Linked DNA regions of Medicago truncatula. Each later gene encodes a partner of the first gene's protein in a complex. Links are inferred from orthologs where the notes say so. Each region holds a gene or a part of one and is shown on either strand. Other genes may lie near its edges.

What was found.
Region 2: NAD(P)H-quinone oxidoreductase subunit M, chloroplastic (region 1) and photosynthetic NDH subunit of lumenal location 4, chloroplastic share a complex: the UniProt entries of both Arabidopsis thaliana proteins name them as parts of the chloroplast NDH complex. The link is inferred for Medicago truncatula from reciprocal best matches to the Arabidopsis thaliana genes NdhM and PnsL4.

Annotation. Positions count from the first base shown.
Region 1 is NC_053044.1:43,822,899-43,833,045, reverse strand, and holds NAD(P)H-quinone oxidoreductase subunit M, chloroplastic, read right to left. Parts: upstream 4,179-10,147; 5' UTR 4,069-4,178; coding exon 3,610-4,068; intron 3,009-3,609; coding exon 2,823-3,008; 3' UTR 2,675-2,822; downstream 1-2,674. Other genes in the region: UDP-sugar pyrophospharylase, read right to left, coding at 547-687, 954-1,070, 1,205-1,309, 1,380-1,427; probable receptor-like serine/threonine-protein kinase At5g57670, read right to left, coding at 5,055-5,297, 5,708-5,857, 5,935-6,082, 6,192-6,271, 6,364-6,527, 6,622-6,870, 6,962-7,684, 7,782-8,034 and 2 more. UniProt on the Arabidopsis thaliana protein: NDH shuttles electrons from NAD(P)H:plastoquinone, via FMN and iron-sulfur (Fe-S) centers, to quinones in the photosynthetic chain and possibly in a chloroplast respiratory chain.
Region 2 is NC_053049.1:42,220,191-42,230,768, reverse strand, and holds photosynthetic NDH subunit of lumenal location 4, chloroplastic, read right to left. Parts: upstream 4,892-10,578; 5' UTR 4,800-4,891; coding exon 4,464-4,799; intron 4,372-4,463; coding exon 4,279-4,371; intron 4,194-4,278; coding exon 4,133-4,193; intron 4,050-4,132; coding exon 3,981-4,049; intron 3,574-3,980; coding exon of another isoform or gene 3,566-3,573; exon of another isoform or gene 3,463-3,565; intron 3,449-3,462; coding exon 3,366-3,448; 3' UTR 3,316-3,365; intron 2,544-3,315; 3' UTR 2,231-2,543; downstream 1-2,230. Other genes in the region: heavy metal-associated isoprenylated plant protein 23, read left to right, coding at 232-283, 456-620, 705-1,003; L-ascorbate oxidase, read right to left, coding at 9,190-10,149. UniProt on the Arabidopsis thaliana protein: NDH shuttles electrons from NAD(P)H:plastoquinone, via FMN and iron-sulfur (Fe-S) centers, to quinones in the photosynthetic chain and possibly in a chloroplast respiratory chain.

The DNA.
Region 1 (10,147 bases):
ATTTATTTATTGGAGAAAAAAAAAAACCTCTGATTCAAGAGGAGAGAGACTTGCAGTGGCAGATGAGAGAGTACACCCCATCAAGAAAATGAAATTGAAATGTTTAATCATGTATGAATTAAAGGAAAGCTAATCAGTGGTACTTTGAATGGGTCTACCGTACACCTAGACTAGATATTGTATTTATTAACAGGGTCATCCTAGTCTAAACACATGGCTTCTTCTCCAGATAATGTAATAATAATGTGTTCGGGAATTAGATTTCTCATCATAACCTTCATTTAATCAAGATCCACCAAAAATATTCCAAATGTAGGTAGCATTTAATTTGGCTCCCTTAAAATTTAGTTTAAGCTAGCTCTATGGCTGCATTGAAAATTTTGGTATTCATAAAATTTAAGTTGATAAGCTCACAATGATCACCAACCAACCTAACACCATAAAATGGATGTTGGTTGATTTTGACAAAACAACAACAAACTTATATATACAAGATGTGATCATCACAGAGAATGATAGAGCAAAAAATTGATAAATGTAGTATACCTTAATCCCATTGTATCCTAGACGCTCACCAAGACCGCCAGCAACAAGAACAAAAGCAGCTCTGCGAGCTTCACGCACACCTGCTTCCTCAAATTTGATGAAATTCTCATCACCAAACGTCAATGTCTCACCAGTTGGAACCTGCAAAATCATTACTAAACAGTCTTACACATTATTCCATTCCACGAACATGCACAAAAGAACAGATCATGTCATACAGATAATTTTGGAGATATTTTAAGAAAAGTGACACTTTGACTGGATGCATGTGTAAAAAGTTTTACACCAACATTGCATGGAAATTAATCTTAAAATTGAATAGTATAGTAATTAAAATGTGGAATGTTGAAAATATAATAAATAAAGAGGAAGAAAGAAATATAAGAAAAGTGATAATTGTGACTTACGGAAGGGGTGAAGCCATCAAAAGGGTTAGTTCCAGCTTTGGAATCAGCCAAGAGTCGTTTGGCGTTATTGATATAAGATTCCAAACCACCAGGGTAGCTAGAATCGAGTAGAACAAGCTAAGAAACAAAAAACGGAGTGTCGTTTAGATAAGATAAGATATATATATATATATATATATATATATATATATATATATATATATATAAAGAACAGATCTATCTATGCTATGGGAATTGAATTGAATTGAAACCTGATCGAAGAATGCTTTCTTCTCATCGTCGTCGACGCCGGGTGCCGGCCAATCGCGGAAGAGATGGTCTTGGCCATTGTTCAATAGTATCTTCACCAACTCTTGCTGATTCGAAGAACGAGAATGAGAAGGGTTACTTGAAATATGAAAAAGATTAGAGAAAATAGAAAGGAACCTGTTTCGGGGAGAGAAGGTTGAAATTGTCGCCGAGGGAGGAAGCCATGGTGGAATTGAGATCGAGAGTGAGAGTGGAAGACGGTCACGGTGGAGAAGAAGAAACAGAATAATAAAAGAGACAAAGACACCAACGTAGGTGATGTCAAATCAAATGTTTTATCAGCGTTGTCGTGCCGGTAGTAATTATGTCGATCTAATTTTTACATTTCACCTCAAGCCACGGTTCACCTTCGGTTGTTAACTGGGCCCATACCACGCACGTGGCACCCTAGTACAAACAACTTAGATAAGTTTTTTTTTTTTTTTTGTCCTTATGACCAAAATTTTAAGGATAAATTATTTTTTCCGCAAACACAGATAAAAAATGGTTAGACACATATATAATTAAAAAAATTGAATAATATGATTAATTTTTTTTCTTCATTTAAGTGGATGTGGCTAAACCTTTTTTATTTATATTTGTGTTCAAGCAAAATTTGGTCAATTTAAGTTATTTTAAAAGATTGTAGATATATCACTACTGCAAAAAGATTTTAGATATATATAAGCAAAATGATAAAAATTAATGAAATCTTGAAAATAAGGTTTGAATCAAATCACAATGTTATGTGTAACCATTTCAATATTTTTATCTTAAAGTTTGAGAACCAATACATTCTCCTTTGTGATGATCTATCATGCCTTCCCTCATGACCCAATAACAATAACAAAGACGATAGTTACTAAAGGATCAAACTCCTTGTATCGAAAGTCTTTCTGACAATAATCGTTCGATGGTCTATTTCATTGATGTTGTGGCAATGGCAATGCAAATGGAATGAAAAAGCTTCCACTTGATAGGAAGATTGTTGTGTAACAAGCGAGTCAGAAACTCCATATTAAATGGATAACTGAATATTGAAAAATATATAAGTTAGAGGACTAATATACATAATACCTTAAGATTTTAAATTAAGATTGGTGTCCAACTTGCTCTTGATCCAATGTGATGTTCCACTAGGGCTCTCCTCTTGACATTTAATAGATGCGCTTTTTGAGATGGATATCAAGTTTGTGGTCGATGACTTTAAGCATTCTCAACAACATATCACCGAGTTTGATTCTTTGATTAATAGTGGAGACCTCTTTACATTGTTTAAACTATTAGGTCAAGTCCACTAAGAGACAAGTTAGCATGAATGCTTATTAGCTAGCTAAGAGGACTATTTTTAATCTTTGTTCATAACTTTTATTATTGATGTTCTTACTTATTTTGAGCATTTGCATTGGTTTTACTCAACCCCAAAAAAAATCTGATATTGGACAAGAGATTTTTATTCTATCTTTGATGATTTACAAATTAAAGAACTAGTAATTGTAATAACATATCTGACTGATTCATCATACACAAAAAACATCAATGATTTGCTCACTTTTCTTGGTGTGTTTCACAAATTATTTCTCAAGTACTTGCATCTTCAGGTTGGATATCATTGTTGTTGAACATGATCCGTGGCTTCCCCATGCTGAAATTCAGAACCCTTGCATTCATATTATACTTGATTACTCCATCATATAACAACTTTCTTATATAATGCTCTATGTCTGAACCAATCAAGCGAAGTGTGTATTCATTCAATGGAGCACCCTGTTTTCAATTATCAAAAAGGTTAATATAATTCTAACACTTAATTGGCTCAAAACTAGCACATACTAACTAAAATCTAATTATATTTTTCCTTCTCCTAGGTTTTTGGATTAACAACTAGCACTGTTACAAAATTTAATAAACCAGATACAGAAAAAATAAAATAGTTCTCCTGTTAATATTTCTAAAACTTAGCAACGGAATTATAAACAAATTTTGTATTTTGTCTTTAATTATGGCCGCCAAGTGTAGAACTTTTTTTTTTATCTTAACCATCCAGAGTTTGCCTGAAAGGTAAATAAAGTGGTCTGACTAAGAATTGTTCTCGTCAGGATTTGAACTCGAATACTTCCGAACAATTCACTTTTAACTAGAGTTCATCAACCACTTGAGCTCTCAATCTTAAATTTAAGCATAGACTATTATCTATCCATGTATTGATAATTTATTTTTGCATCAGTTTTCATGTTTTTTCTACATATTTTGCTAAGCAGAAGCCTACATGCTAGTCTTGAATTATAGTATATGTGAATTCAGTATATATGAAACTATTCTAAGACAAAAACTATTGTATATATTTGACTATGTTTAAGGAAACTACCTCATAGTGATCCACAAGCTCCTGAAAGTAAGAATAAACCAAGTTGCAAGTATCAGGATTCCACACAAACTCATCAGTAGGATCAAGAATAAGAGTAAGTTTATCCATCTGAGTTTGATCAAAAGCACTAGTTTCTGGATCAATATAAGCTGCATAGATCCTCACATGTCGCGTGGCACAACTCAACCACTGTCCTCCGTATTCCCTGGTCATGCCTTGATCTTTTACAATCACCTGAGGTTCAACTGGCCTTGGTTTTGTTCCTTTTGGATTAATTTGTTGATTTTGTGGTATTTCTTTCTCTTCTCCTACTTTCACACCATCTGTTTCCTTAACATCAGATTGTTGTTGAGCTGATATGAAAAATGGAGTTCTGTTTCTTACTTCTTTTCTTCTTCCTCCTGTCCAACCTAGTATGGATAATTTGGTAGAAACCATGTAGGAACAACTTGTGGCCATGTTTGATTTAGTGGTGTTTTTTGCCTTTAATGGCCAACAAGTACTTACAAGTGGGACTTATTAGTGTGCATATTGCTTAGCTTCACTCCTTCTGCTATGGATAAGATTTGTTACATAATAACTGGAAGGAAATGTTTGTGGTCACAGAAGAAATACAGGAAATAAAGAGCAATTTCCAATTTTACCCATGCATATGGTTTATTATGAGTTTTAAAATATACACTGTATATATATCCTTAAATAATCCCACCATTGCATTATTACAATTTTTTTATTTTCTTTCTTTTTTACTTTATTTTGGAAACTACACATTATTTTCTTACAGTTTTGGATTTTTTACCAATTGGCCATTTCTCAACCATTTTGGTGCCCAGCATTGTATAAGTGTACCTGATACGGACATATCTCCAGAGAGAAACTAAATATGCATGAAGAGGTTGCAAGACAAATGATATTTAAGTGCATGTTTGAATGATAGTGAATTTGATGAAATTATGGTAGTACTGTCATTTTATTGAAGCCTCAAAGTATTCTTTTTGTTAAAATCACGGTGACACACACCCTAACTCCGTTAAATTCACAGTAAATCAAAACATGCATTAAGTCAAATTACATTACATATGGAAGAATCCAAGCGACAAAATTGTTGTCGTATTATTAGGATTAAGAGCAATGATCCTAATACTCTAAAATACAACTTCTCATCCTATACAAAACTCAATGGAGCAAAACTAGACAGCATTTGAAGTATAATGAAAAAAGGGGTACTAGCCCAACAAATTGAGGAGGCATAGTTTCCTAATTATTAAGGTAAGGAGGAGGGCACATACAAACAACCTCTCATCCTAAACCCCCCATTTAAGAAAAACCATGAATATGCCAAAGCTATATTAAGATGCAAAGGAAAACAGTATCTACAAGATATTAAAATAAAAAGTATAGAAGAATAAAAAAAATTGTAGCAAGCAATATATGCTGTAATTTGCTCAGTCAAAACTTGATGCTCGGCTCCACCTGCCTCTCAAGTAGTCCTCTAATGAAACACTTTGCTCAACACTGTACATGGAGAGTGAGTCATCATCCACATCAAGCAGTGCAAGATTAAGATGTGACTGTATATTACTTGGTGGACATACTTCATCATCGAGCATTTCATGCGCTTCCAAAGCATTGACTTCTAGTCTTGCCCACTTGATTGCATCAATATCGCCTTGAAGTAGCTTTGAAACCTGTGGTCCAATAGAATACATGAGAATTGCAACGGACAAAGGACTAATGAAGGGAATAAGAATACTTTTGATGGTGCTCGAAGGACTCAATTCCCTGCAGTCAGGGAATCGTAAATTCACACAAGCATGTAAATCACGGCCATTGAAAATAATCAAACAGTTGACAGTTAAAACAAAATTATATGGACCTTCTAAATTTTTTTAAGGGCTGAGATCACTTCTGCAGTCACTTCTGACTGCAGAGAATCCATTACTAGAACAAGAAAATAAAGTTAATAAGTATGCTATAGAATTCAAGTACCACATTATTTAGGAAAAGCTAAACAAAAAAGGAATTTTTCATGTCCATTGTACATGACATGAATGGCTCAATTTGCTATAAAGAATAAAGATGATAGTGGGCCACTTACAATGCTCATTTGTGGCCTAGCTTTTGGAGCACGTTTGATACAAAGAGTGGCTGCTAATACCATTCTTTCCATCTCATCATGATCATAGTTATCACCCAAACTAGGATCTAACAATTGTGACACCTTTCCACTATTTATAAGTGGACTTGCCTGCAAAATATCTTTTCGATTATTTTTGCCATAATACATAATGATTAGGAAGTAAGTACATAACCACTGACACATACCCACATAACAAGATTCTGTTGACCTTTCGGATAATCAACACTTATGGGCTTTCTCCCTGAAAGAAGCTCAAGAAGCACAACACCAAATGCATAGACGTCGATCTTATCATTTACTTTGCCGTACATGAAGTATTCAGGAGCCATATAACTGCATAAACAGGTGCAATACATGATTCAGGATCGCTCTAAAAACGTTTTCTGTAGCATGTATGGATAAGAACGGATGATAAGTTTTTGATGGATTTCAAATTACTAACCCAAAGGTTCCAGCAACATCTGTGCACGTTATATGAGATGATGAAGTTGATGCCCACGTAGCCAATCCAAAATCAGAGAGCTGAATAAAATCAAAGCAGACCAGCATAAGGATTGATTAATACAAATAATTCGAAATATTAAAAGCCAATCAATCGGAAGATAGATAAATACCTGAGGTTCAAAATCTTCAGATAGTAATACATTGGATGATTTTACATCCCGATGAATCACGGGATGATCGTCTTTACAATGCAGATATTCCAAAGCTTCAGCAACGCCTGTTGCAACCTTATATCTCTGTGTCCAACCAAACTCGCGAGGGTTTTTCTTAGTCCCTAATTTAGCATGGAAAAGAAATAAGTATGATGTTATTTGAATTTTGATCACATAGAAAAACTAAAGGGAGTGTTGGAAGGTATATTTGTCTACCATGAATGTTCTCTTCAAGGCTTCCTCTTGATAAGAAATCATAGACCAAGAGTAGATTGCCATTCTCGAAGCAGAACCCGATGAGGGAAATAATGTTTTTGTGATGCAATGTGGTGATGATTTCTATTTCCAAAAGAAACTCTTTCAAAACATCATACGAAGGCTTTAGGATCTTGACAGCAAGTTCTTTGCCATCACGAAGGCAGCCTCGGTAAACCTTACTACTTCCTCCTTTCCCAATAAAATTTTCTGAAATCATATTTGTAATAATCTTGTTAAAAATAAAATGGTTTTGTTAAAACCGAACACAGTCAAACTTAATTAATACTAAGAAACAAACCAGGCAAAAAATTTGATGTTGCTGATACAAGTTCTTGGTACTCAAACAATATGCAAGTTGATGAGTATTTCTCATGAAGGCCCTCCAATTCTTTTGGAATACTTTTTAAATTGCATTCAGGCGACGAATAAGTTTTCCCCATTTCCGAATCTACTGGAATAAGGGCACCACTTTCACTATCTAAAGCCACAGATTGACCCTGAGCTTTATCACAAATACTAACTTGTTTATCATGATCAACATGGTATGAAAGATTTCTACGCGGCAACCTCATTGCCCACTGAACCACAGAGATCTGGTCCCGCGTGAACAGTTTATCAGGTAATTGCCGGTCTGGTAAAAAATTCCGACGTAGTAGTGGCCAACCGGGTTTCAATTCAAGCTGCCCTGCATCAGTTGTCTGTACAGGGACTATTGCCAAAGAATTCTCATTTCCACCATCACCAGATGAGACTTCAGATCCTTCTGAAGGCTCTTCTGCAGATTGATGGCAAGAAGTGTCTTTCAATGAGCCACAAATTGAGCAACTCTGATGTCTAACATTTTCTGTAGAATCCAGTAAAACCTTAGCTAAACTGTGATCCGAAATCCGTCGAGTTCCCTCATCAGTATCAGCATTAAGTACTTTTGTATTCTTACTGAGTGTCAATTGAATCGAACCAAGCAAACCATGTGTCAATTGAATTGAACCAAGCAAACCATTTCCACGTTGACGATCAAACCCTTTCAAAAGCAAAAAAACAAAATCAATAACTGTAAATTAAATTGAGTTCATGAATCATGAGATCCACATTAACCAAAACTAAGAAAAATCCAAAACCTTGTACATCAGCAACAGTTGATGCTGCCAAGCTGTCACGCTTGTACACAACCTTTCCATTATTCACAGCAAGAACACAACAGTCCTTGGATAACTTTTTAGCACAATACTTAGCTACAGAGCTAGATGACCGAATTCTATGAAAACCATGAACACTTCCAACAATAACATGAGATGCAGAATAAGCATTTGCTTCTCGTACCAAAATTCTCTTCACCGATGATCCACGGCAAATTTTTAGTTTAAGATCCACCTACAAAATTGAAAATCAAAAACAAAAACTTAAACAGGAAATAATGTAACTGATTTTTATTTTTTTTGCTTATTAGGATCATAATTGGAGGTGAGAATATTAAATTTTATGCATTAACCATTTGTAATCAATTTGATGACTGAAAATGAATTTTCATATTCATCTTTACAAATTAAAAAAATTCAAAAGAGGAATAAGAAATTGAACCTGCTTCAAATTACAGAATCCTTCATAAACATTAAGAACAGAGTCAAAAGCCTTAACAAGAGAAAGCAACGATGATTTCCCATCTCCATTCACAATTTCTACACAAACCCATTTCACATATCAATCATCATAAAAACCTCAACAAAATAAAAACAAATGAAAATTATCACTCACCATTAGTCCCAAGAACATGCAGAGCAACTACAAGATCACCAGGTTGAGCAACTTTAACCAAAGCCCAAGTAAGAAGCTCTTTGCTTGGTGAATCCATTTTCACTCCCACCACCACCGTCCGGCCATCGGAGCCACCCTCATCACAAGTTTTTTGCATTTTTTTTTTCTTCAGATGATCATGATCAGAGACAAAGTACTATGATGTTTTTTTTGTTTTGTTTTGTTTGTGTGTGTGTGAGTGAACTAGGTTGTGTGATATAGCGTACACAACACAAAGGTTTGTGTCATGAACTAAGGTTTGGTTTTGAAGCTACCACCCTATGCTACAACAACAATAGTTAGGAGGAGGGAAGAAGAGGAGGGACACGCTTCAACCATAACTTTTCGGTTAAAAGCATCATTAAACATGTGACTTTTTTAACAAGATTTTGCTATAACAATGTTTCATTTCATGCTTTTTCAATTTGACCATTGGACCCACTTTTCATGTAATAATAAAATGTTAACATTATTATTAGTTGACGAATGTAAGAAATAAGAAATATATCCCCATTCATTGATTTTTCTTACTTGTTTAATTATCTATATTTTGAGGTAAAAACATTATATAGTTGTATAATTAATATTTGTATTAGATTATGCAGTCTGAATGGGTTAGTGGTGGTCAACTTTGTATAAAAAAAAGGACTGTGTATGGGAGTTAAATTGTGGTAATAATTAATTTTATGGGTGGGTGGGGAATTTAATTTTTGTTAAAACGAGATATTTAGGAAATTTTTCAGATGATGGAATGTTTCGTGTGTGAATAAGAAATTACTACTTGCAACTATTTTATTTGTGTAAGAAGTAATCTTGCAATGTCATTCTCATTTTAATAACATCATGCTTTAATTTGGATCGTTTTCAATGTGTTGTGTTAACATCCATCTATATACTATGTTTTTTGTTGATGAATCTTATCTACGAAAGCTTTGAATACATTTTATAAGTTGTTTGAGCAAGAGGATACACCAAAAGTTAAACAAGTTTTAAGTTCCTATAAATATAGCGTATTTTGTTTTTATTCTTCATAAAAAAAAAGGTTTTAGTCCTTATAAAAAAATTCAACACGTAGTTTTAATTTCTTAAATTAAAAGTTGTTTAATTATATTTGAATAATTTTTTATGGACATCTTAACAACATTATAAGAAACTCTTATATAAAAATTAGAACTTTATAACATGATATGAAGTAAATATGAATTTTTTTTTAAAACTTCAAAATTTCAAGATAAAATAGATGAAAATTTGGACCAAAAAATCAAATTTTAAGTTAATTATTTGCGGGAGAACTTTTTATGATGCTTCTAAACAAGTATGTGAAAAATCATTTAGAAAATTAAAATTATAGGCATAATTCAACAAATTTTAATTTAATAGGGACTAAAAATACGTGTTGAAATTTTTTATAGAAACCCAAACATGTCTTTTTTTTTATGAGGACTAAAAACGAAATTGATTATATTTATAGGGACAAAAAACTTATTTAACCCCGTCCAAAAATAACTAAGTGGTTGTTTAAGGCTGTGTTTGGTAACACAAAAAAGCTAACTTATAGCTTGTTGGACTAGCTTATAAGCTTGTTTTGATAAAATGAGATGTGTTTGGTAAAAAGCTTTTCTCACTAGCTTATAGCGTTTTTTAAGAAGCTAATCCAAGTAGCTTTTTAGCTTATAGCTTGTAGCTTTTTATA
Region 2 (10,578 bases), on another chromosome or scaffold:
ATCACTAGGAAGCTCTCTATAAGTAGGCATATGCATACGAGCTCAAACCAAAGTAAAAGGCTCTTTACAATATTCACCCAAAAAAAGCTCTTCACAAGAGCAGCATTATTTATCCATAATTGCAAGGTAAGGAAGGAATCCATTTTTTCCATAAAGAAAGTTCCTTGTAGCATGTTCTGTTTCAGAACTCCCTGAGTTGCTTTCCTCGTTTTTATTTTTCAATAAAAAATCATGCTCTATACATTTAAGACAAAATCCACCAACAAACATATACATGCTCCCCTGTACAACTCTCATAAAAACTCTTTTCAATCTACTTCAGTAATCTCTAGTTTATAGTTTTTGTCTTCTTTGAGACACTAAACTAAATAAGTTCTATATAAATTGGCAAGCTGTGTTCATTTTATTTTCATGTATATACCATTTCAGTAACCATTTTACTTTTGAATATACAGAAATGGGAGTTGGTGGCACTTTGGAATATTTGTCTGATCTAGTGAGCAGTGGTCACCACCACCTCAAGAAGAAGAAGAAGCAGTTACAAACTGTGGAGCTAAAGGTTAGAATGGACTGTGATGGTTGTGAGCTTAAGGTCAAGAAAACCCTATCTTCACTAAGTGGTAAAGTAACATTCTTTTTAACTTTTCATCATTTTATATTATCATTTTCAACATGAAGTTGCTGAAATGAAATGGTGATTGCAGGGGTACAATCAGTGGATATAAACCGTAAACAGCAAAAAGTGACTGTGACTGGGTTTGTGGATCCAAACAAGGTGCTGAAGAAGGCTAAGTCAACAGGGAAGAAGGCTGAAATTTGGCCTTATGTGCCATACAACTTGGTGGCTCAACCATATGCTGTTTCTTCTTATGACAAGAAGGCTCCTCCTGGTTATGTGAGGAGAGTGGAGAATGCTCCAACCACTGGAACCATGACAAAATATGAAGACCCTTATGTCAACATGTTCAGTGATGAAAACCCAAATGCATGTTCTATCATGTAGACAAAACAGATGTTTTTTTTCTTTCTAAGCTTGGCACTGTAAATTTTTCAAATTTTAATCTAGTATTTTTTTTAATTTTTCTAGTTTACTTTTTCTGGTCAATTTTCAAGCTCGTTATCCTACATTATGGACTTTTCTTAACATGAAAAAGGATGAGAAGAGACGTTGCTGTTATCATTGCTTTTGTTTCCTAATTTTGTTAGTTTTCCAGAACTGTACACTGTACCTGCTTTCAGTTTTACAGTAGCTAATTTTGAGCCCTTGGACTTGACCTAGGATAGGAAATTGTTTGTCTCTGCTATGTCCTTCTTTCTCCCAGAAAGGAAAGCTGGATTGGGTAGAAAAGTAAAACAATCATGTGAATTGCAAATAAATAGGGCCTGCAGGGTTGAAATGGTAAATAAAGAAAACATGTCTGAATGTGTGATTAAAGTTTTTAACTTTTCTTGTGTGATTGGAGTTGAGGAGGAAAAATAGTAATTAGATCACTATAGGAGGGGTAAAACACGCAACCTCAATACTTCTTAGTTCTTAACGAAGGTCAGGTCACACCATAATAAAAAATGAAGGGCACACATAAAGGAGGGTGCATGTAACTGTTAAAGGCTCAAAAGTTATAGGGTTCAGGTTCACTCATTTTCCAATAGTACAAACATTATCAGCATTTGGCATTTCATTTTGCCTAATCTGCACGATTGCTTGCTCCCTAGTTCTGGAACATTTGGCCCCTCTCACCTAGGAAAAAAGCATACATTCTTGAAGATAAATTCAAAACAAAAGAAGCAGGAGCTAACAAGTAAAACAATTTTCAAGGAAGGCATATCCTCTTCTTTTAATCAACGTGAAGCAGAAATTAGCTTTATCCCTTTTGCTCTTTTCCCGTTTTCCCTATTCCTTTCCCAGATCCTAACAAAGTGTAAAGGCACATGTAACTCAGGGCAGTGCAGACTAGAGGATTCAACAGAATTGTTCTTGAGCGGTATAGTTTAGAGGATTCACCAGAATTTTGCCTACCAAGTTGAACAATACTCTAAAGAAATTTTGCATACAATTTAGGATATCATTAGGAACATATTTCTAATGATAAACCCAAAGAATGGTTGATCAAGTCAACATAGCTGCCAAGAAATTGTACATTTTAACTATTCATTTGTTAACCATCCAAAATCATGATTCATCTTTGGCATTTCATTGCAGACAGCACATAGAGGAAAAAGATCAAATGGATTAAAGATACAAGTAATAGGGGATAACATTTATCATATAAAGAATTAATTAATTCATCATTCAGAGTGTACTATTGAAAATTACATTTACAATAAAGATACAAAAAGTTGCATCATGTTACCAGACATGTCTAATATATATCACCGCACCAGGGTTGGATCCTCTTTACTCTTAAAAGGGGTATTCTATTCAGGTGAATCATGTCGGACTGCACTAAACAGGAATAGTAATTTGAGAGAGCTGGAACCAGGAAGGAGAATCTGCCTAACAAGTCGATCCACACTCACCAGCAAAAAAAGTCCATTTCATTACTCTAAAACAATTAAAAATAACCAGTCAAAAAAATTATTAAAAATAATGATTATCCCTATTTTTAGATAATCAAGATCAGAGAATGCATGGATACCAGCATATCATTATAGTTTTAAAGGCATTTTATTATTCCATAGAAAAATGTTTTAGTTTATAAATATGCAAGTCTACTTTTATCTGAGTAGATTATCTGACGCAACTTTATAAAAGATCGATTAGATTATACTCCCTCCGTCCCTATATGTAAGCACCCTTTTATTAGAGGCAAAAGGTGCTTACATATATGGACGGAGGGAGTAAACAAAACCTCATTCATCTTAAATATCACTCGGTCGTCAAACAGTATAGTGTTGTAAATTTGATGAATAAGTCAAGCCACTGGGATAAGGTTAATAATGATGAATTTAACTAGTTTGCATCTGAGTTCAAACATCATTTTGTATATTGCACAAGAAAAATGGTCACAAAGGACCCTGTGTCAAAATTTTAAGTAGCATATGCTTTAACCATGATCATGTGTGACAGCTAATTTTAATGTTGCATACTGTGTTTTCTCATGAAGGTTCTGCATATACCTAGATATGCATAAAAGCTTCCTGATCATGGTCAATATTGGAAGCATTTTCTTACAATTATGATAATGTGAAAAGTAAACAAACATGTTTAGCTGGAGAGCAAACAGAAAGTAAGCTGGATAAAACAATCTGAGTGCTGGGTAGTATTTGTCTATCTAATCTAAGAATAAAATATTCTCAAAAGATCAGGAAACTCACCTAATCCACGTGCGGTTCATATACGTATACGTATTCGATCAATTTTGTCTTCATTGACTTCGATTGCCCGAATAAAGACCAACAAATTTAATATCATACAGAAGAGTTGCATTACCCGGTATATTGCAGTCACCTATTGAATCAGCGACAAAACTGTCAAAATCTAACATATTTAATGATAATGATTCTCTTCTTCTGATAATAATAAGATTGCATTCAATATCTTCCCAGCCTAATAAAATCCATGGTCTTATACTCCTTTCCATTGAGAAAAACACACAGACAAGCACACAAAAACAAATTCAGCTGTGTAAGTAGAAAAAAGTGTTTTCAAGTGTAGATCGTGGAATATAGCAGTTTGTTCAAACTCTATTAAGTTACAGAGTTTCATAGCTACTATTTGACATCACTTTGTTCTAAACAGCGTATCACGAACCAATAGCAATTTATTTAAATTCCATAGCACTGTAGCTACTTTTTTTACAGTGGTAGAAAATATACCGGGGCACATACGCGCAATGCATATGACCAAATACACAATTAATGATTCATTTCTTCATCCACGTGTCTACTAGATTTTTGAGTTTCAGGTTTGATTAAAGTAGTTATCCATGTTTAGTAGCAAATTACATAATAACACAGTAATAATTAATAATGAATGAGACCTGAGAAACAGCCTGCAGGTTCAGGACCATACGCTAACAATGGAGGAATCGTGAGTTTGCGTTTCCCACCTAAGTAAAAATAGTAAATAAATTTAGAAAGTGTCATATACTATGAACAATGAAACTTAAACACTTCAAATTAAATTTAATACCTATCCGCATTGGAGGTACTCCTTCACCCCCTAAAATTCCCTGATCCAATCCCCTTATTACCTGAAAATCCCATTGAACCTTATAATTACAAACTCATAAAAAATACATAGCCAAATCAATTTAACTGTAAGAAAAACTTATCCACCTTGCCAACACCAATACGCATAGTTAAAGGCCTAGCACGTTTATAACTACTATCAAATACTATTCCATCGGCGAACCTAGCTGTATAGTGAATCTGCAATGTATAATAATAACAATATCAATCGTTAATTAACTAATTAAATTTTTGCATATAGAAAATGAGTAAAAGAGTAATAAACAGCTTACATCAATAAGCTCTCCTAAAGGAGCTTCATCACCAAAACCCTCAACATAATCACAGTAACCAAGCCCAGATTTAACATAATTAAGCTCACACATTGGTTCTCCCACAGTAGCATAGTATTCAATTCTCGTTGCATCTGCATCCAACGCTGTTAACCCCATTACCCATGCTGCTACAATTCCAATACCAATTCCCACTAACGGCTTCTTTTCGTTACCGTTACGTGCAGAACATAACACTTTATCGGATACTTTATAACTTTTACCATTCAATTTCATACAAGAAGGAAAACGGTTATGAACGGTTGTGCCTGAACAGAGTGAGAATGAGAGTGCCATTTTCTATCTTAGTGTGTGTGTGTATAGTTCTCTAAGGATATATCAAAGACTGATGATATGAGTAACTCCATTTGGCATACCATCCTTTCTACACCATGTGGCTCAAATTAATCTATAATAATCAATATATATCAGCTCAAAAACACAAATAAAAAATTTCTGGGAAGTTTCATCACTCAAAAAAAAAATCTGCAAGTTTATAGAGACAAAATTACATTTTAGTCCCTTAACTTAATTTAACATAACAATTTGGCATTTAATTTATTTTTTTCATTTCAATTTTGTCATTTTTGTTCTTTGCATATGAATTTTTCAAACTTCAAATCTAATATTCATATGCAAAACACCATATATTTGAAAATTGAGAGGTCATAAGAAAATAAAAATATGAATTTTTGAAACTTGAAAATCCATATGCAAATGACTTAAAATGACAAAATTGAAATGAAAAAAAAGATAAAAGATCAAACTATCATTCGAAATTAAGTTAAGGGATTAAAAGTATAATTTTACCTTTCTCTTTCCACCTTATCTCCAAAACCAATATAAATTGAAAATCATAAAAAACTCTATTTGCTTCGAATATTGGACAATTTTTTGACTCAACCATATAGTTTAGTTTAGCATGCGGATTTTATTTTATCAACCAAATTAAACTAAACTACAATGTATAATAAGAAAAACATGTCATTGTTACTTAACCCAAACTCAATCTCTTTCAACTTCGCATAATATTAGAGAATGATTTTCAAATGAGATATAACTTGTCAAATAAGAGCAATATAACTTATTGAAATTGTTAAAAAAGACATTTAAGTTAAATTTGTTTATAGTATTTGTAGGCTTTAGAAGGCTCCTTATTGATATATGAAAAAAATATAGACACGTGTGTAAATTAAAAAAATTAGTTACACATATTGATATATGACTAAAAATATATGCTAAAAAATGTTTAGATGAGATTATACGAGTCTTTTCTAACTTAACTAAAGTCATGTGTTCGAATATAATCTCAGACACTCAGCAGCATTTAAACACTTATAAAAAGTTTATTGTTTATTTAGGTCCACAAACACTTATAAAAAGCATTTAAGATAATATTGATATTAATATATAAATAAAAAAATAGAGTAGATAAGAGCTTAGTTTTTTCCATAAAAAAAATAGCTTAATTTTTCTCCTTAAAAAAAAGAGCTTCAATTTTTCTCGTTTCATTTTAATAGGTAAAAATAAAATAGTAAGATATGAATATCTTTCGCATGCTTACATCTCTTAAGATTCAAAAACGTTTAAATCTATAACAACCGCGTAACAAACTCACACGCTTACAATACTCTCTTCTAACCGTTTAATTTCCCCGCGCGCGCGTATATAAATACTTCACCCTGCAATTCATCTTCATTCGATTCAATTCACACTCGAATTCACTCTCTTGAGACTTGAAACCTCTGAATCTTCTTAACCACCATGGAAAACTCTTCAACCTTTTCCTCTATGCGATTCTCTATGCTCTTCTTCGCAATCTTCTTCACCGCCATGCTTTCCGGTGACGAGGTCACCGCCACTGAAGGAATCGAAGCTTCATTCCCACCGCCACCTCCGCACGATCTTCAAGAACATTCGTTCTTCTCTCAAACTGCATTACTTCCACCGATCTTGTCTCATCTCGGTTTTCACGAGCTTGCAACCGCCGCTCCGTCGCTCTCCGACGCTGCAACCACCACTTCCCCTGCTTGGACCGGTCCTTTCACCATTTTCGCTCCCTCTGATGCATCGCTTCGCACTTGCTTTTCTTGCTCTGTTCCGAATCTCCTTCGTGAACACATAGTTCCAGGTATATTCACCATCGAATATCTTCGGCGACTTGCTTTTGGCACCAAGATTGAGACTCTCAGTCCCGGCCGTTGCGTAACCGTCACTTCCGAGTCGATTCATCAGAACAACACTTCCGGCAGTGCTCCAAAAGTCTTCATCGGAGGCGTTGAGATTACTCAACCGGATCTATTCAACAACGGAATGGTTGTTGTTCACGGCCTTCAAGGTTTCGCCTCTAAGCTTTCTCCGTTTTCTTGCGACGTTGAGAGAATGAGTTCTCTCTCCTTTCCGTTTCATCCTGATCACCGTTCCGGTGCTCATGTTCACACTCCCGGCGCCACCGTGCTCCCTGCTATTATGCGCCTCATGCTACGAGATGCAATGGTAAGGCTCCGTAATAACGGTTTCAGCATCCTCTCCCTTGCTATGAAGGTAAAATACGCAGAGCTCATAACTCTCAACAACATGACTATTTTCGCTGTTGATGATCTTTCTATATTCTCCGGTTCTCAATCGTATATCAGCAATGTGCGATTCCATATCATACCGAATCATTACTTGTCAATCGCCGATCTTGAGAAGCTTCCGGTTGGAACTGCTCTGCCTACATTGGAGCGAGGTCAGCCGCTTCTGATCACTACTTCCGGCGGAGGAGTGACATCAGCGCCGATGAGGATTAACTATGTGAGAGTTAAGGTTGCTGACGTCATCCGCAATGTGAAGATTGTTGTGCACAGCGTGTATTTGCCTTTTCCGCATATCAATCCTATTGCGGCTGCTTATGATACTATCTTAGGAGGTGAAGGAGCATCGGAAGGAGCGGGTGTCGGAGCCAGAGCTGCTACTGTATCAGATTCTGCTGGTCAGGCCACGGAAGAAACCTGCTCTGCTCCTGATGGACGTGGTGGTTGTGCTGCTGATGTCACTACTGCAGCAGGTGTGTCTCCCATGCCTCAGGTCAAGCCAATGGTTGAGATTGAAGATCACCATGGCCTGTGAGTGCGATGCTTCGATGATGATGATGAAGATTGCGGTTTAGTTCTTTCTCTGCTGAAGTGAATCTCTATGAAATTTGTAGTTAATAAGTTTACACTGTTGTCCATCTAATGTAGCTAATTCACACGGTTCCTTAGTTCTTTTTAGTTTGTGCTGCACTTCTTTGTCTCATGAAGTGAAACTTTGAATTTGTAGTTAATTCACACTATTATCCAACTACACTATGTTGCTTAAATAGTTCTTCAATAAAACAATTTGTGGATTTAGTCTTTACAGATTTTCTTGACATTATCTTGTTTATCAATTCATATTTTCTGCTTAGCACGTTCTTGTTGTCTTCCAAGTTGCTAGAGTGATATTTAGGGTCCAGAGATAATTTTTGGGTTAAATGATTTAGTAACAAGTCAAATTGAACGAGTCCATTTGAATTTATTTACTGAAGTGAAATAAATGTGCAATGAATCCTTCTAAATATTCGTTTGATTATGCAAAGGTTAATGATCAGTACATTTTGAAAGGTATTTAATGGGAGGAAGGAATCCTTCTAACTGATTAATTCAAGTTGGCTAAATACCGAACTTGAATAATGAGCTATGTACTTTAATAATGAGATACAATATAATTTTTCTCTCTGAAGTTACTTAAATAGGATTGCTTGACCAGTGGTAACACTTTTTAGGCAAATTCACTTGTTCATTGTAACCCAGATCTCAATTTTTGAAGAACGAAGAAGAAGAACGCGATTGATTGGAGTTCGTTTTGATTTTGATGAATTAGTCTTGATTTGTACCAAAAACGTTCATGAATTTGTTTTGGAATTCGTTCTTCAGGATTTGCATAGTTAAATTTTTTTTTTTTGAGTTTTGATGATGAAGGTGATGAATGTTGCTGGGTTTATTGATGAAGATGATGAATGTTGTTGGGTTTGATGATGAACACGATGAATGTTAACGTTTTTTCCACAAGATTTATCAGAATGGATTCAATTGATAGACGGAGGTAATTTAAAGGATTAAATTGGGGTGAAAATTAATAAGAGGACCAAATTAAAATTTCATAATTATTTAAAAGACCATTTATATAATTAAGCCATAAATCTATGTTGATCTAAAAAACTTTCCTAGATTACAAGGTAATCCAAAATTCCAGCTGTATGGTGGGCTAGCTGGTGCATATCATATTTGACCAAGAAAATACAATAAATAAATGGTAGGTATTGAAAATGACAGAAGATAGCTTGCATAGAAGTAGCTACTTGGTCAAAGATATACCTAAGGGATTGACTTTGTAAAGTTGGTATGTAACTCATGTGAAAGTTGGCAGTGACAGTAACCGGAGGAGACTAGAGAAGTAGTAGTCTACTGCAATTATGCAATTTTGAGTTGCTCTAACCATTTTTCACAGAAAAGAGTCTGAGGAATCATTACAATTACACTTTACAATATATACAATGAGGCCAGCACAATTTGTATAATACTAAAATTTTAAAAAAAAATTAAAATATATCATGATGATTCTTTTGGAGTAAGAAAAGAATTGGATGTTCTAAAGTAACAAAGGAAAAATTGAAATTGCTTGTTTAATTATGGCCTAAGAAGCCTTTGCTTTTGCCACAACCCATGATGGATGAAGGTAGCTTCCCAACCCTTTCAATTCCTTCTTCAAAAACCACTCCCATTCCCATATAGAAATGAGACTCTATATGACAATGGAAAGCCCAGACACCAGGATTATCTGATCGAAACCTCAAAGCAGTCCAACCAAATGAGTGCACTGGCACAGTATTCTTCATAATGGGGTTCACCAAATTATAATTTTTTGGGTCTTTGTTCGCATCAAACTTTCCCTTTCCATATCCAAGTACCCAAAAATCATGTCCATGAAGATGCCAAGGATGTGTCTCACTGTTATTTTTATTCATAGTGTTTGCATTTTGAAGTATAATATCCACAGTTGTATTGAACTTCAGTCTATAAATTCCATTGCTAGAAGTAGCATTTGTGTTGTTAGCCACACTGAAAATATCATAATTATTAAAATCATAGCCATCAGGTGGAGGTGTTTGGTTGAATTCACCAGTTATATTCTCTTTAAGTGCAACAAGATAAGGGGTGTGAGGAAGGAAAAATGATACGTTGTTAACAGACCAATGACGAACATTGTCTATAGTGTTTTGTGTGTTGAGCAAAACTATGACTCTATCTGAGGTTGTTGGAGGTTTGATTGTGTAATTTTGGTGAGCTTTGATTGCAAGGCTTTGAGTATGTCTTGACTCAACATTGTCCCAAGCTGGTGGAGGTGGTGGAGATGTTGGTGGTGACCTCATTGGATGGTTTGGGTAGTAGTTGAAAATGCCTAAACCAGGCGGGGTTGTTCTGTTTCTGCTGACAACATTTGAGGTGATCCAGTAGTTTCTTGATGGGTCTTGATCAGTTTTGACTAGAACTGAGTATGTTTCGCCTGAGTATATGTAGAGATTCTTAACCACAAAAGGATCAACATAGTGTCCATCTGCTTCAACAACAGTCATGTTATGGCCCTGCATTATTACAAACATGTCAAAACTAGTTCTGGATGTAAAAAGTGATAAAAATTAAACAAGGTTAAATTGTGGTAACAGTCGGGTACTCGGGTCACAATCTTTTGATATTTCAAAGAATCGTATGTGACTGATGTGGCCTTAATGGTAGTCATAGATTGATGTGGTCAAAACTAGACCGGTGATAAAACGAGTGAGACTGTTGGGCCATGGTTCAATTGGTTTAATCGGTTTAGCCATGACCCTTAACCCTAAATTGTGGTTCAACAATATGACTAAGAAATAAATTAATAGATAGACATTAAAAATGTATGTTTTTTTATAAAGAAGCCAGACTGGTTGAACCGCAGTTCAACCTGGTTCTATCGGTTCTATAGGGCTGCGAGTGTGAACTGTATGCGGCTGAACCATGTGTTACACCGGCTGGTT